Linked DNA regions of Nothobranchius furzeri. Each later gene encodes a partner of the first gene's protein in a complex. Links are inferred from orthologs where the notes say so. Each region holds a gene or a part of one and is shown on either strand. Other genes may lie near its edges.

What was found. Proteins that work in one complex are often made in the same cells at the same time.
Region 2: trrap (region 1) and histone acetyltransferase KAT5 share a complex: the UniProt entries of both Homo sapiens proteins name them as parts of the SWR1-like complex. The link is inferred for Nothobranchius furzeri from reciprocal best matches to the Homo sapiens genes TRRAP and KAT5.

Annotation. Positions count from the first base shown.
Region 1 is NC_091756.1:29,498,295-29,506,679, forward strand, and holds part of trrap (transformation/transcription domain-associated protein), read left to right. Parts: intron 1-2,151; coding exon 2,152-2,351; intron 2,352-2,568; coding exon 2,569-2,786; intron 2,787-2,928; coding exon 2,929-3,126; intron 3,127-3,255; coding exon 3,256-3,516; intron 3,517-3,706; coding exon 3,707-3,868; intron 3,869-4,017; coding exon 4,018-4,114; intron 4,115-4,265; coding exon 4,266-4,387; intron 4,388-7,386; coding exon 7,387-7,557; intron 7,558-8,385. UniProt on the Homo sapiens protein: Adapter protein, which is found in various multiprotein chromatin complexes with histone acetyltransferase activity (HAT), which gives a specific tag for epigenetic transcription activation.
Region 2 is NC_091750.1:47,300,926-47,309,310, forward strand, and holds part of histone acetyltransferase KAT5, read right to left. Parts: intron 5,553-8,385; coding exon 5,367-5,552; intron 5,295-5,366; coding exon 5,214-5,294; intron 2,049-5,213; coding exon 1,986-2,048; intron 1,833-1,985; coding exon 1,584-1,832; intron 1,378-1,583; coding exon 1,288-1,377; intron 1,213-1,287; coding exon 1,072-1,212; intron 999-1,071; coding exon 905-998; intron 823-904; coding exon 663-822; intron 586-662; coding exon 504-585; intron 1-503. UniProt on the Homo sapiens protein: Catalytic subunit of the NuA4 histone acetyltransferase complex, a multiprotein complex involved in transcriptional activation of select genes principally by acetylation of nucleosomal histones H2A and H4.

The DNA of each region.
Region 1 (8,385 bases):
AGGACATTCCTTTTCAGTGCTCCGTGGCGGTCATACTGACCTTCTTGCAGGACCTGATGGATAAAGGAAAAGCTTTCTCCACCATCAAGGTGTATTTGGCTGCAATATCAGCCTGCCATATTGGCTTTGAAGGGAAGTCGGTTGGACAGCATCCCCTTGTGAGTCGATTTATGAGAGGCGTGCGAAGGCAAGTTCCCGTCTCTAGGAATCTGGCCCCACCCTGGGACCTCCCGCTAGTTCTGGAGGCCTTAATGTCTTCTCCTTTTGAACCACTGGAGCAGGTGGATTTGAAGGTGGCTACATTAAAAACGGCGCTGTTGCTGGCACTTGTATCGGCTAAACGTGTGGGTGAAATACATGCTCTGTCTGTTCACCCGTCATGTACCAAATTTTCCCAAGGGGACTCGAAAGTGACCTTACTCCCTAATCCCACCTTTATGCCAAAGGTGCTGGGGGCTTTTCCCCCTATTTCTTTGGTTTCCTTCTGCCCTCCCCCCTTCTCCTCAGTGGAGCAGCAGAATCTCCGTGCACTTTGTCCGGTGTGTGCATTAAGTATATACATGGACAGGACAAAGACCATGCGAAAGCGCAACCAGCTTTTTGTATCCTAGGCCAAAAATCGGTTGGGGAAGCCCATATCAAAGCAGGGACTTTCTCACTGGATTGTAGGAGCCATTTCCTTAGCCTACAACTCCAAAGGGGCTCTACCTCCTTAGGGCCTTCGTGCCCATTCTACTAGAGGACTTTCTTCCTCATGGGCGTGTCCATTCAGGAAATATGTGCTGCGGCGAGTTGGAGCTCCCCTCACACATTCACTTGGTTCTACAAGCTAGATGTCACAACACCGTCACTAGCTCACTCGGTGCTGGGTACGGCTCCCACTATCTGAGCTGTGCACACGATATGATATTTGGGAGTACAGTCTGTGGATCATGTTCTGCCTTGCAATCCGGGAGTCAGTATTTTCCTACAGTGAGACACGAAACGAATGCTATAAAAGAGAAGTTTAGGTTATTGTCGTAACACCGGTTCTCTGAGTAGCATGAGTGAGTGTCTCACCATACCGCCCTCCTTACTATTTCGTAGCGAGGAAGAGGTGGTCATTTTAGAATACTGTCAGTGAGGAGCCGGCCTAATATATAGGTGGGGTTCCCGCCTCCTATATGCTGACAGATTTGTTCCAGCCAATCAGGGCTGGCAGTGTAGAATAAGAGCTTCTGATTAAGTCATGCCTAGGCGTTCCCATAGTGAGACACTCACTCATGCTACTCTGAGAACTGGGGTTACGACAGTAACCTAAAGTTTTCCCTGCATTACCAAAGCAGGCTGGCTGCACGTTTTCGAAGCTGTCTGATAGTTTTTCCTCACTAAAACGTCAGTCCTGTGAGAGAGGTGCACGCATTCTGGCACCTTAGCTTGTTTGAACTGTGTGCCGTCAGAAACATTCAAACCATTTTTAAAAGAGAAGTTGAACTTTCAAGTCAACTAAAGTGCGCGACTCTGCACTCGCGCTGATGAAGCATGAACCAAGCTTCAGAAATCAGCCTGAACCTCCTCCGATGTGGGAGGAGTCTCTCTCTCCCTTACTCAACTTCGTTCTCTCTCTCTCTCTCTCGTCCCGGGCTCACCTACGGTATCTGCTGTAGCAGCGCTGTGTGTGGGAACATAAAACAGGGAAAATAACCTGTACATGCAGCTCTGTCAGATGTGGAGTTGAGCTCGGCTCTGGACGGTACGCCCCACCCCCCTCCCCCACGCTGGCTTTTGCCGCTGCCATAACACGAGGGGAAAACCCCGGATGTAAAAACGAAAAAGTTTCACAACTGATCCCGGATCAGTCAAAACCGCTAAAACCGCAGCTTTGACGGTCACGTGATCGTGCCGTTTGAAATCACAGCATTGGTCCAGAAACGATAGATCGCTCAGCCCTGTGTCAGACAGCCTGAAAACTGCTACGCTTCACTCAGCCACATTATAGTAACTAACACATCACTTTACATGCTCAATAACATTAACGGCGTTGCAACGATGAGAAAACGAATGAATTAGACTACACTGTTACCTAAAAAATAACGTTGTTAGTAACACCCGTACTCCCAATACTCTTAATAAGTGATCATCTAATTCATGATGCTGTTTTCTCGCCTTTAGCTTCACTGATAAGTGGATTCCCAGCGTCATCATCTCTCACCGCTACAAAGCACAAGACACACCTGCGCGCAGAACCTTTGAGCAAGCCCTGACTGGAGCATTCATGTCTGCGGTGATAAAGGACCTGAGGCCCAGCGCTCTGCCCTTCGTTGCCAGCCTGATCCGCCATTACACCATGGTTGCTGTGGCTCAGCAGTGTGGTGAGGGACTGGGCTTTTAGCTTTTATGATGCAATAGCCTTCCCGGCTGCTTAATGTATTTATATATGTATGTAATTGTAACAGAGTTTTATAAAAAATTTTTATCTTAACAATGTTTTCTAATAAATCAAATGACATATATAAATCTGAAAGTTGTTTTAGTGAGTTTTTAAAAATCATTCATCGGTTTGTTTTTTTGTTCTCCTCTTCATGCCAGGTCCGTTCCTGCTGCCATCCTATCAGCTCGGCAGCCAGCCAAGCACCGCCATGTTCCACAGTGAGGAGAATGGTTCTAAGGGCATGGATCCACTGGTTCTCATTGATGCCATAGCGATCTGCATGGCCTACGAGGAGAAGGAGCTGTGTAAGATTGGAGAAGTGGCTCTGGCTGTCATCTTTGATGTTGCCAGCATCATCCTTGGCTCTAAGGAGCGAGTAAGTCACATTGGGAGGAGGCGATTGGAGGGAGTTTTTTATCCTTCCATTAAAACAACTTCATTTTAAATCAGTGCTTTAGTTTTTATAGTTGTAGTTTAGTTCTTCACACCCCCACCCACTGTGGCTTCTGCCCCTCCAGGCATGCCAGTTGCCCCTGTTCTCCTACATCGTGGAGCGTCTGTGTGCCTGTTGCTATGAGCAGGCCTGGTACGCCAAACTCGGCGGTGTGGTGTCCATCAAGTTTCTGATGGAGAGACTTCCTCTGATCTGGGTGCTACAGAACCAGCTTACGTTCCTCAAAGCCCTGCTCTTTGTCATGATGGACCTCACCGGAGAGGTGAGATTATTTTTGCTGTGATTTTTCTGTTTCCATCATCTTTTAACATACGGAGATTTATTTTTGTCATGCTGTTGGGCCTTTACGGTTAAAAGTACTGCATTCATGCTCCTATTGATTTTCACACAGGTGTCAAACGGGGCTGTAGCCATGGCAAAGACTACTTTAGAGCAGCTGCTAGTGCGCTGTGCCACTCCGCTGAAGGATGAGGAGAAGACCGATGAGCTGCTGGCTGCTCAGGATAAATCCTTTCACATGGTCACCCATGACCTCGTTAGAGAAGTCACCTCCCCGAACTCAACTGTCAGGAAGCAGGCCATGCATTCCCTCCAGGTGCTGGCGCAAGTCACCGGCAAGAGTGTGACGGTCATCATGGAACCACACAAAGAGGTGAAACCAGACTCTTAAAGGCTTTGGGTGCAGAATTACCTGTGTTCAGTAAAATGCACCTGATTCAGGTGCTCGGCTACCCTCACAGACGCCTTTTAATCAAAATTTCTCTAAATTAACAAGATTGATTTGAAAGTTCTGTTTGTGTAGCACAGCACAGACTGACCTCCTAAACAACAATGCTGTTCAGGTTTTGCAGGATATGGTTCCTCCTAAGAAACACCTGCTGCGTCACCAGCCTGCAAACGCCCAGATCGGTCTGATGGAGGGAAACACCTTCTGCACCACGCTGCAGCCCCGCCTCTTTACCATGGACCTGAATGTCATGGAGCATAAGGTCTTCTACACTGAGGTATGGAGGCTTTTCTCTGAGCTAAACTAAAGCTCAGAGACACAAACACATTCATGGTTTAGTTAAGTCTAGATCTAGTTCTACCAGACAAGTCTTGGTTGCTGTGTTTTTATTGACTTTTGCATCAGATGTGTTGTTTTTCTCTTTAGCTTTTGAATCTGTGTGAGGCAGAGGATGCTGCCCTGATGAAGCTGCCATGTTATAAGAGCCTTCCCTCCCTGGTTCCTCTTCGTATTGCTGCTCTCAGTAAGTCCTCCCAGCTAATCAGGATTCAATTTTGGTTTTCTTAGTCAGTCCACTGAATTTACAACATGTCATTTTTTCTCTTTAAGTTATGTGTGTTTTTATAATTCCTCAGAGTGAAAGTGTTAAATCTTTGTGTCTTCACCTTGATCAGATGCCCTGGCAGCCTGTAATTACTTACCACAGTCCAGAGAGAAGATCATCGCTGCCCTGTTCAAAGCTCTGAACTCCACCAACAATGAGCTGCAGGAAGCGGGTGAAGCATGCATGAGGAAGGTCAGCACAGCTTACCCACTCTGTTTGTTTCTCTCTCTCGCTTTGTGACATCTAGAGTTGGACAAAAACTAGAAAAACAATGCATAATTGTGAGCTCATGTCTACGCTGGCTGCTGGGGAGGCGTCATGCTTTTATGCTAAAGCTATAAATCGTATTTTCTGCCATCATTTATTAAATGTGCAGAAAACAAGGCCTAGAGGATTAAATTTAAGTTACTACTAAAAAAATTCAGTTGTTTACGCAGATGTTTAATTACTAAATCAGTGAAGGAAAGAAAGTTGTGAAAATCCAGGAAGGAATTAAGAGAAAGTGAAACATTTACAGGCCAATAAAATCACAAAAATGTGAAAAACAAGTCATATCTTGATATTTAACGAAATTAGTTGTGTTTATTTTTATCCCACAACAAAATAATTAAATAGAACCTCTTAATCTGCTAAGTATTTTTCTCTTTGAATTCAAAATATTGAAGCATTAGATAATTTCACTGTTTTATTCTTCATGATGTTTTTCTTTCTAGCATCTTTCTATAAAATCCAAGACGTTCCAGCGTTCGATAATAACTTTTCTGACATCATTTATGACCATAATCTGAGTTTATCACAGATTATTATGCATTGATCTGTCTGTTTTCAAAGATTTACATTGAAAATGACAGTTCAGTGATTTTAGTGATTTTAATAGTGAATTGTTAACGACACAGATTCGACCACTGTAGAGTTTTTCTTGCACCAGTGTAATTTTTAAAATCTTTTCCCTGATCACTGTTCTCTAAATCTTTAGTGTTGAATAGATTTAGGTTTAATTTCACTTGCTTGGAAAAGTCACACCTGTCTCTAATCTATCTGCAGTCTCCTTTGAGCCCAGACGAGCCCCAGATTAGCAGACATAACCTTTGTAATTATGGATTAGTCTGTGCCCTTAAGGGCAAAAAGCAATCTTTGTAAGAAACACGGTTGCATCCTCTAACTCTTTTTCTAAATCACATTTTCTGCCTCCTGTGAATGGAGTTCGTTCTCCCCCTGTTACCACTTATCTTCATATGAGCCTCCCTCAGCTTTATCACACTGTCCCTGAACCAGCTCTCCTCCTATTCATCAAAGTATCCTCACCGTCTGGCCTTCTATCCGTCTGCTCCATGCTCTCTGTCCTTATTCTTCTATTTCCCAGCTCTGTCACTCCTCCTCACTGTGCCGGGATTCTTTTTTCTATTTTTCTTTCCATTTTCTGTTCCCTCCATTCTTTCATCTCTACTCTGCTAGCACTAATGAGCGTTGCCATGGCTAGATCGATACAGGATGGAGTGTTTGTTCTCAACGCTGAGAGGAAAATGAATGTGGCTGCCATGCATCCCCCCACCCTCATCTGTGTGTGTGTGTGTGTGTGTGTGTGTGTGTGTGTGTGTGTGTGTGTGTGTGTGTGTGTCATCAGTGTTTGGTTGGTATCTGTGTTTGTTCACATATCACTAGCTCCTCATTTGAGTGGCCTTTGTTTTTTGATAGAGGCCCAAGGGTGATAAGCAGGTCATGTGATGGATCACTTTTATTTCTGTGTAGATGTAATCAGGGCTTAATTTGAGCCGGATCTTGCCGGAACAAGATCCGGAACTATCTTATTTTGAAAGGACCGTTCCGGCAGCTGTCTGCTAGGTTCTGGCAACTCACGCGACCAACTTGTGCTATACGCAGGACAGGGGCGCAGATAGGATTTTCAAACTGGGGGGACAAAGTTCCAATGTACCCTCCCCCAAACACACAAACACACACACATGTACACATACACACACTATTGCAAAAGCCTTAACTAGAGCTCAGTCAGTTTGTGTAATTTCATCCAATGGTTTACGAAAAAACTAACACTATTATATACGTGTTTGAAGCTATTATGCAATGGAACACTATCCAAATCAGTCACTTGTTATTCTCCCAATTAAGTACTAACCAAAACCTCATGCTTTATGCAAAACATGCTTTATTTAAACATTAACTGATTTTAAGCACACCAATCTTTACAGAAAACATAAAAGCAAAAAAAAAAGTTTTTCTTGAGAAACTAGAAGAAAAAATGTCCAAGAAAAGGAAAAACTTGCATATAGTCAACAGAGCTACTCCAACATGCAGCCACCCAGAGCAGCGCAGTTCCGGAATGTTCCGGCGTCAGCTCAGGAACTGCCATTGTTTAAAACATCCTTAGCATCAATCTTGGACGATTTAGACTTGGGCTTTTCTTTGAGACATGAGCAGAAAGAGGTATTTAAGTCCTTCATTTAGAAAAAAGGATGTATTTGCCTCTTTTTCAGTGTACGGCGGTTTGCCCCGTTGACTGATTTTTGTAGCGATGAATATGCCATGTTCGTTGCTCTTATTGGTCCTATCGCTGTCCAATTCCATGTAGAGGCTGTTTGAAAGACGGTCGATTCAGCCTCATGACCGAGCTCTGTCTATGGTCGTGGCCAGACCGTACATTCACAAATACATCACGTTGTGCTTGGCTACAGCTAATGACTAGTTTAAATAAAGCTGAGACTGAAGGGGTAAATTATTGTAGCTTCAATTTTCAAATTTCATACCGATTCATGTGACTGTACGTATTTTAGAAACCTTTGGACTTGTGTGGTAATTTAATATTTATAACTCCTGCTGGTGATCTTTATGCTTATAAATAATCAGAATTCCATGTAAGTAGCTGTAAGCTAAGCTGACAGCAGCAGGAAGGTTTATGGGTCGTTTGCCTGACCTGCCATGAAATGTAAGAGACTGGAGCTGGTTTTACAACAGCAGCAGAAGCATGTTGGTCTGTTCCGATCTTGTGCTCAGAGTAGGTGCTAGCTTACCAGTCCTAAATGACATCAACTTCATTTCAGGAAACCGTCAAAAAAAGGTAAGAAAATAAGTGTTGCTAACTGTCGCATAAAATCACACTTGCTGAAAATTCCCTTTGAGGCTAAATGGATAAAAGCAAATATGTCGTTAAACACGTTTTTGCTTATCTGTTCTAGTTTCTGGAAGGAGCCACAATTGAGGTGGACCAGATCCACACTCACATGCGCCCTCTCCTCATGATGCTTGGCGACTACCGCAGCCTGACGCTCAACGTCGTGAACCGTCTGACGTCTGTGACTCGTCTGTTTCCCAACTCCTTCAATGACAAGTTCTGTGACCAGATGATGGTGAGAACCTCCAGGTTTTGGTTTTGTCTTAAACACCTGACAGTTTGATGTTTGAGCAGAATTATCTGAACCCAAAAATGCAACATTTGATCTGGTGAGCTGCTTTTTGATGAGATCCCTACATGGCCCAATAATTCAGCAGGGGCAGAACCAGCAGGCATGGGTCTTCAGTAAATACTATCTTGTGCCTGTCTCCTTCCACTGTCCTATTTGGTGACCCTGCCAAGAAAGTTGACCATTGAGCAAGGTTGATGCTGGTTTTTCCCTTGAGGTCCACGTGGCAGGGGTGAGGAGGTGCCCACTCCTCACTTAGGCCATGTAGACCTCAAGGTTTTAAACCATCAACCCTGCTCAATGGTCAACTTTCCTGGCAGGGTCACCCAATAGGACAATGGGAGGTTTAAAGGAGTCACCACCTGGAATTTTCACTTTTCCACGTGAAATAATGTATATAATGACTTTCTAATGATTTTTCAGTGGCCGGAAAGTCGATAATCAACATTGGAAAGTGTTTTTACTCTTGGTTTCTTCAACCAGCCCTCATGCACCCCACGAGCACGCACACTCCAAAATGATATTTTGAGTTCTGGCCTTACTGTCGTCACAAAGGCAGGATGTACAGTACCATATATGGACAGCGCAGAGCAGTGCCGCCCGCACTGCTCCGCTTCCAGAAAATACATTATTTCAACTTTCATTTTGGAACTAGTTGTCTTTGAAAATATAGTAATAATAGTTTGTATTTTAAAGTATCAAACTTTTATCGGACTATCGTCGTTTCAGCTGTCATCAAGCATCCAAATGTTTGCCGATAGAAATATTTTCAGT
Region 2 (8,385 bases), on another chromosome or scaffold:
CCTCTTATACCAATATTAAGTCATTACTATTAGTCTTTGGATTAAAGGGACGCTAGGCAGTTTTGGCTTGCTTTTAGCACCCCCCAGTGTTCTGTTGAAACAGATCTCGCTGTACGTTCATCTTTTTAACACCTTAATCTAACAGCTGAAATGTCTTCTCAGCCATCATTAGCTTCTACAGGAGTGATTCATCACTAAATTATAACAAATCTGCTGTGTTCATGATCTAAAACGTGCTGGAAGCAGACTCCAAGCATGCCAGCGCCACTTTTAACAGGGACCGGACACTCTGAAGTTGCAAGTGCAGTACTCTGGCCACAGAGAGCGGTGAGTGACGATTCATTAACCCTGTAAAGAGTCCTTATAGCACATACTGGCTCAAGAAAAAGATCTAAGAATATTAAAAAGTAGCATGGTGTGGCTTTAAGAGTACAAGACAAGGAGCCATATTGTAGTGAGAATTTTGTTGGTTAAACTTCTTCTGAAGCCGACGTGAGTCTCACCTTGTAATAGTTGATGAGGTTAAGATACTGAAGTGTTGAAATAACGTCTTCCTTCTTCACACTTGTGATTTCACTAATCTCACTGAGCAAAACAAACTGTTAGATTTCAGTTCAGATGAACCAGACTCTGAACCAAGGCTGAAATAAAAATGGCCTTACTTGATGGTGATCTGTGGCCTTTCTCCATTTTCAGGTTTAAGGTCCATGAGGATTTCCAGGATAGTCTGGGACCAGTAAGAGCGATAAGACAAGAGTCCCAGGTCAGACAGAGGCTTCTCGGGAGTTCCCGTCTTCCCCTCCACCTTCGATAACTCGTAGCCTGAACACCACCGCACATAAAACCAACAGAAATGTCAAGAAGCTGAAGTAGGCAGAGTCCTCCTGACGGCGTGATGACTTACTGAACTCAATCAGCAGCTTTCCATAACCTCTGCGTTGGTAGGGAGGTAAGGTCAGGATGCAAGCCACGTTATAATCTTCAGTCGACTCTTTTTCCTGCAAACAGAAAACAGAAAGATGGACTATGGCCACAGAACTGGATCCAGGTGAGCGGTCATCCCTCTGGTACCTTTGAGAAGTAGCCCACTATGTGGAAGCCTTTAGAATCGTACTCCGTCATGACGTAGAAGAGGAAAGGGTCTGTGTCGTAATACAACGTTTTGTGGTCCAGAAAACACTTTGCAAGTAAACACAGGTTCTGGGAATAATTCTGAAAGACATGAAGTCCATGTTTGAACCAAAAACTGAAAGAAGAAAACGAGGAGAAAAGATTTTCATTAATTACTTTGTTTTTCCTGCCATCAATCTCAAAGAAGGAGATGGTGCCTTTGCGGTAGATCTCGTTTCCTGGAGGATGTCTTAAATTACATTTGGTCTGGAAGAAAAGAGAGAAATACAGTAAAGCAGCAGACCCACATAAGAATTCCCTTCCCAGCTCAGCGAGCCGAAACACGATTCGGCTGAACATTCCTAACAGCTACAGCTGATATGCCTACCTGACATTTTGTATGAGCCACCTTTACTTTTGACTCTCTGAGCAACACAAAGCCACGAGGATAATGTGACTGAAGCAATTCTTACCAGATGCCTCTGGAGACACTTGAGGCTTTTGACGTATTTGAGACAGAATTCACAGAGGTAGAGGATGGGCAGCGTGGTGAGCTCCTGTGGGTACGGGGAGAAGTACCAGGGCTTCAGTCTGTGCCGTCCCAACTCGATACACTCTATATTTTTCATCCGGGTGACGATATCGTCGTGGCTGCGATCAGACACCAAACTGCCCGTCATGCGGGGAGCTGTTGGGATGCCATCAGAACTGTCCTGAGAGTCCTGGTGGAGGTTAATCACATCAGATATACATCACTTTAAACACCTAATGATCCTGGAAGTACTACCAGGAGGAATGGAGAGGTTTTACCACTATGGCACCAAATTTGGACACAAACACACTCACAACAGGCAAAAACATCAAGTGGAACACACCTCTGGTGGTGGTAGGAACACACTGGCACTTTGAGGCTTGTTATATTGCAAAACCTTAATCATCTAGAAGAAAAAGACACAAAAACAGAGGGTTTGGAAACTAGGGGAAGGAATAAAATGATAAACTGAAAATGTTGGTTTCAGGTTAAATGAGAGAATTAAACGATAGTATAAAGGTTTTAGAACATTACAGGGATGGATTGTGACAAAACCACCGTAATCTGACAATCATAAACAGTAAAGTGGAAAATGTATTTTTATGTGGGGTTAGGGTTAAAACATGAAGAACCTCCTGGAGGTCCGCTACAGACAGGTGAGCTGTTCAGGTAAGAGTGACATCATCCAGGAGGAGTCTTTTGGGGGGTCAGCTTGGTCTGGGCTGGGTGGGGCCATTGCGTTTACATCGTTATTCACGTGGAGCCGACCAGAGGGTGCTCGCTGCAGAACTGCAAAGGTGGAGCTGCACCAGAGTCAACCCCGCCCACTCACGCAAACTCAGCCTAGCCCACTGACTTCTTCTGTTTTTGTTTTTTAACTTTATCGCAAACTAACCTGACCCACATGAATTACAGCTGTTACTAGTTTACAATTGTTAATGCTATGTCCTATGCTCCAGTTAAACAAGATAAATATAACTAGCTACATGACAAAGCCTGAATATATCCCAAACGAAAAGGCTTCTTTTAGCAAATATCAAATATCCCAGAAATTTGTTTTTAAATGGCATGCAACAAAATGAAAAATGTTAAATCACAAATAACAATTCTTCCCGCTTTCCTGGTTAATTTAATCAATTTAACATTTTCATTTTACTCATAGAGGTTGTTTATGCTTTGCTGCGTTTTATTGTTGACAATAATAAAATAAGGGTTTTCCTCGTCTCTGCCTCCTGATCAGCTGGTCCGCGGGTGTGACGCGACGCTGTGTGTGTGTGTGTGGGGTGGGGGTGGGGGGTTCAGACTCATGTTTTATTACTGAGCTCTGTTGTGGCTTATTACACATAAAATGTGACAATCAGCTGAAACAGTTGAGAAAATTTGGTTCAAACTAAATAACAGGAGATGTTCGTAAAGTTTGGAAGCCCATGTTCATCATGTGTTCATAAACAAACCGCATCTCATCTGTGTTAATGAGCTATTAACACAGATTGGACTTTACTGTCACCCAGAATATTTAACTGATGAAGTTTTCTATTCAGCAGCCTCCTTAAAAGCAGGTCTGTTTAACCAATGTCAGACCTGCCAACCTTGTCAAAAATTTTCGAGTACCACTTGTGCTGCGTTTTTTCGCGGACTTTTGCAACTCCATTGCTTTTCACGCTGTAATCTCCCCATTCACTGGATGGAAAATTTTACCACACACACACACCCACAGTTCTTATTTTGACTGGTAAGGTTATAGACATTTTTACAGTTTGACCTGACCAGTTTGACTGAAGTATCATGTATTTTAATATTAAACTGTAAAACTCTAAAGTTTCCTTATATAATATGTGCTTATACAAGTTACTTGCATTACATTATTTCAATACAAATTAATAAAAAAACATTTATTTAATGGTAATTATTTATTTTGTAAATTGCAATAGATGTTTCTGTTCAATAGTTACATTAAAGCAAATATGCAAACAACACCAGGGCTAATTTACTAATTACCTGCAGCCCCCTGGTGGCTTATGTCCACATCATAATTGAAGATTGTGCAAAATGCATGGTGAGGTTGTTTAGAGGGTCGCAAGCATGGCCGCTGTTCTTGATATTTGGACAAAATCTTCTGAGAAACATGGACCCTCTTTTTGGCAGGTCTGCTAAACAATCCCTCCCTGTCTGCTTCTCCCTCATCTGCCATAGCATGAGTTGCAAAACGAGCTGCAAAAAAATAATGGCTGCATGTTTAAACTGTATAATCACATTCCTCCTTATATACAGGCCAAATCTATATGCAATGGATAAAGGCGCACACACACACACACACACACACACACACACACACACACACACACACACACACACACACACACACACAATTACCTTGCCAGAACAGCAGCGAGTGGTGAACCGGAGGGAGAGAGGAGCAGCGGGCAGGACGAAGCAGGGAGGAGGGGGGCGGGGGTGTTATGCTAGGTTAGGCAGGATAGTTAGCTGTTTTTTCTCTGCTTTTCAATGATGATTGGCTTAAACTTCTTCACCACGCCACTGAGTCATGTTGTCAGACATGAGTACCACACGTGCATATTTGCCACAGAACTCAACTCACGTATCCACAGCTTTTTGCGTAGTTTAGAGGGGTGAGTCGTACCAGCGTAAATAGATGCCAAACTGCGCACTAACTATGCAAAATTCGTACAGGTTGGCAGGCCTGCAATGTTACCCTGTCTTCTTTCCACCTGGTGCAGAAACAGCTGCTGCATTCACAGCTGACAGAAACGGGGATCTGTGCTGCAAACCCCACAATGAACCTGCGTATTTCCAGTAGCTACAGACTGGGACACGCTTGTTGAATGATTTGTACAATAATCAGATTTTCATTTTACTTCCACCAAGCGCAAATTCTAGATTAGATATTACTCAAACGAGGACAGCTTGCCATCGATATTAAAAGCCGTCGCTCATTAATTAGGCCGCTACTTTTTAAGTCAGGCCATCCAAATGATGGCGGGGAGGCTCGCTGGCTAAGACTATGTTGCACACATGCGCAGTGGGCATTACGTTACTGCAACAATCCGAATGAATGTGTACATGGACGTCAATCGGAATGATGATCGGACAAAACTACCCCAGTCAATCGGAATGAAATTTTGTTTGAATCGGGCCGTTTCGGATCAGAATATTCTTACTGATATGTTTACATGAAGAATTTTTGATCTGATTGGGCGTTCGTTCCAATTACTTGTGCCCGTTTAACATAGCTACTAACAGCCTGTCACTGTCCCTACCCGGCCCAGGCCGAGCTGACCGCAATTGCCTTAATGATCTACCCTTTTACCATTTAAAATGCTGTCAAAAGAAAAGAAAATCCCTTTCTGGTGGGATAAACCCCCCAAAGTAAAACATTCTCCTATCCAGAAAATGGAGGTTTCCCAAACATTTCATAAATGATCCTACAGATGAAACAACAAAGAATAAAATATGCAGACAACAACCAGAGTGGCTGTGTGGAGAAAGAAGATAGAAGTAAACGGTAGATTAGTGCGTTAGATCACCGTTTCTACAGTCTGATAGATTTTACCTCGTTGGCCCCCTCACAGTTAGCTTTCCTCTTCCTCCCAGGCTGGGGGGGGATGAGGCGCCGGGCAGTGCCATTCTGCTGCTGGGGAGGAACGAGACGCTGTTCATGAACAACAAATAAACACATAAAAGAGCTTCAGAGTGTTTTATTCACCGTGGTGAGAGAGGACAACTGCTCATGGTCTTCTCTGGCCTTAAAGGTGTTTAAGGTGGGGGTGGTGGCTTCTCGCACCGCAGGGAAAACCGCCGCCTGAGAGGCTTCAGTCGAACTCGGTAGAGACGGAACGGGAGGGGCCGGGGGCACCTGAGTCGCCACGGGAACCGTCTCCGCCTTCCTCTTCTACAACAAACACAAGAGGTTAGAGCTGCAGCTCACTCAGCCTGAGCAGAGGCACAACAGAGCTAAAGCTGGGTTTGGAGAGGTTTAACACTGACTGGTGTTTCACCAGCAGTCAGTGCACGGACACTAGTGCTAGTGCACTGACTGGTGTTTCACCAGCAGTCAGTGCACGGACACTAGTGCTAGTGCACTGACTGGTGTTTCACCAGCAGTCAGTGCACGGACACTAGTGCTAGTGCACTGACTGAGCTGAGAATGAATTTGGTTAAAGCCACAGCAAATCAGACTGTCTAAATGATGGTCATTTCTAAGATAATTATTGTTGTTAATTAAACCTTATTTAAACCCGGTATTAAGATGTAGTTTGTGTGTTAGTAAAAACTCACATCAAACAGTTATTTAAAGGTGTGGCACACTCATTTAAATCACTGTATTGGCAGCGGTCTCGAGTAGGAATGAATGCCCTTTAAGTCATACTTGGCTCAGGTGTGTCTGTCTCAGGAAGTAGAAATCAGCTGAAATGGTCATTTCTCAGCATGTGTACTCGCCTACTTGTGAAACATCAACAGCGATGGCCCAAGTACTGTTCCAATCTAAGTACGCATCATGGCAAGTTACTCAAAGTTCCCGGATGTGTTCTTGCTCCGCCCATTGCATCAACGATGCAGTAACGCACCCTTCTGCGGACTCGGACTGGCAAAGTATCCCATAATGTATTGCATCGCAAACATACTCCAAACAGCAGAGAAGAAAGTCCATAATGGTAGAGTTTTATATTAGAAATACAAATAAAGAAATATTACGTTGTCTGTTATTGGAGCTGGGTATCGATTCAAATTTCAAGAATCGATTCGATTCCAATTCTCAAGAATTAGAATCGATTATCACAATTTGATTTGATCTGATCTGATATATTGGAACAGCGAACTCTTCTTTTTTTTTGCTGTTAGCTTAATTACATGCCTATGTTGTTGTGTAGTACATTAACACTATTAACATTCAACAACAAATTACTGACATGTGCTGTGTGGCCAAATCTGTCTCAGAACTGTGCTTTTCAAACTTGCCGTCAGGCTCAATTAGCAAACCGATCCAGGACAGTCGACAGTGGAAGGAAGACGTGTCAATGACTGCATCAAGTGGACTGCTATTGGAACACGAACCTAGGGCATCTCTCTCACACACACACACACACTTTTTTATATTGGCCTCACTCAAAAATGCTTTTTAACAATATTGGTCAGATTTTTTTTGGGCTTGAACATCTTTAGGGTTGACCTTCCCTTAAATGTAATGGTCATTTGCTCCAAGAAAAGGTCTCCATCTGGACCACAGATGGCTGGGATACATTGAAAATTCATTTGATTATGTGACACTCTTTGACTTCCATTTTAAACGCGTCTGCTGTTTTTTTTTTTTATGGCTTTTATTCCCAACATTCCCGCTACGTCTGTCATAATTAGCAGTGTTTTTACTATTCTTTCTACATCCACCATGTCCCGGTGAGAAAGCTTTAGAATCAGCATGTGGAACGTTTTAGCTCCATTAGCCTCACTTTCTCCACGTGAAGCACTCTTTCAGACTGGATGAGTGAATATTCTTCAACTGAATTGGAGGCGGTCATTACCAGACAAAGAGAGTCACCAATGACCAGACCTGTCAGCATTTGTAAGTTATCCCCTATAATATACCACCATGTGCTGCGTTCGTCGTCTCCTCTCGTTCTCTCCCATAACCTGGAGCTACCCAACGGTTTTCAAGCTCGAAAAACTCAGAAACTTCCACAGGTTTAAGGGAGTCAAATTTAAGACTTTTTAAGACTTTTTTTAAGGCCACTTTGACCAAATTTAAGCTTTTTTTATTATTAAATTAAAGCTATAATTTCCAGCTATTGCCTGGAACCGGTGCCAACCACGTCACGAACGTGGGATTAGCCATCCAGTTACCATTAAACTTGCACTTCCCCATGACGCAAGCTCCCACTAGCTTAACCAGCTAATGTGCTCATCTGAAAATAGTCCCCTTTCACAACCAGCTGAATGTGTATGGTTCCACTTATGCCAATATCATACACAAAACATGCTGAACACTAACTAGAAATTCACAAAAAGTTTATAGAAATAAAAGAACCTTGTTTATTGAGTCTTTGGTAATTTAAGACCTTTGGAAACTGTATTTAAGGATTATTTGTCATTTTTAAGGATTTTTAAGGCCTTAAATTTGGAAAAGCAAATTTAAGACTTTATGCTTTTTAAGGACCTGCTGATACCCTGTTTCAATATGAACACAAGTGTTGCTCAGCTTACTGAAGATGGACATCTCCACTATCTTCTGGTGTAAAGTAGTAACTTCATGAAGGATCATATATGCAGCTGTGGCTCTTTAAAGTCAGCAATGACAGTTGTTGCAAGTGAGCAGCTTTGGTGCTTAAAGGGTTAAATCGATCTTTGGACGTTTGAATCGATCCTCGTGAATATTTTTGAGAATCGATTCAGAATAGAAGGATTGATTTTTTTAACACAGCCCTATCAGTTATTGTGAATATTAGTGTGTAACCTGTAAAATTTTCCCCCCCAAACTCTTCACCATCCCTCACAATGCCAACTAGCTAACCCACTATCAAAATAAAAGCAGCATTGCCTTAAATAGCTGTTTTGATGAAAAAGAAACTTTTGATTTACCAGCAGGATAGGCTGGTATTTCATCTAATCCGATCAAAAGTGGACCAAATATACAAGTAATATGTATTCTAGAGATGTACATAGTTAACTGGTTAATTGCTGTTAATGTAACCGGGTAAAATAGTTTTGCCCAGTTAACTGCCAGTTCACAT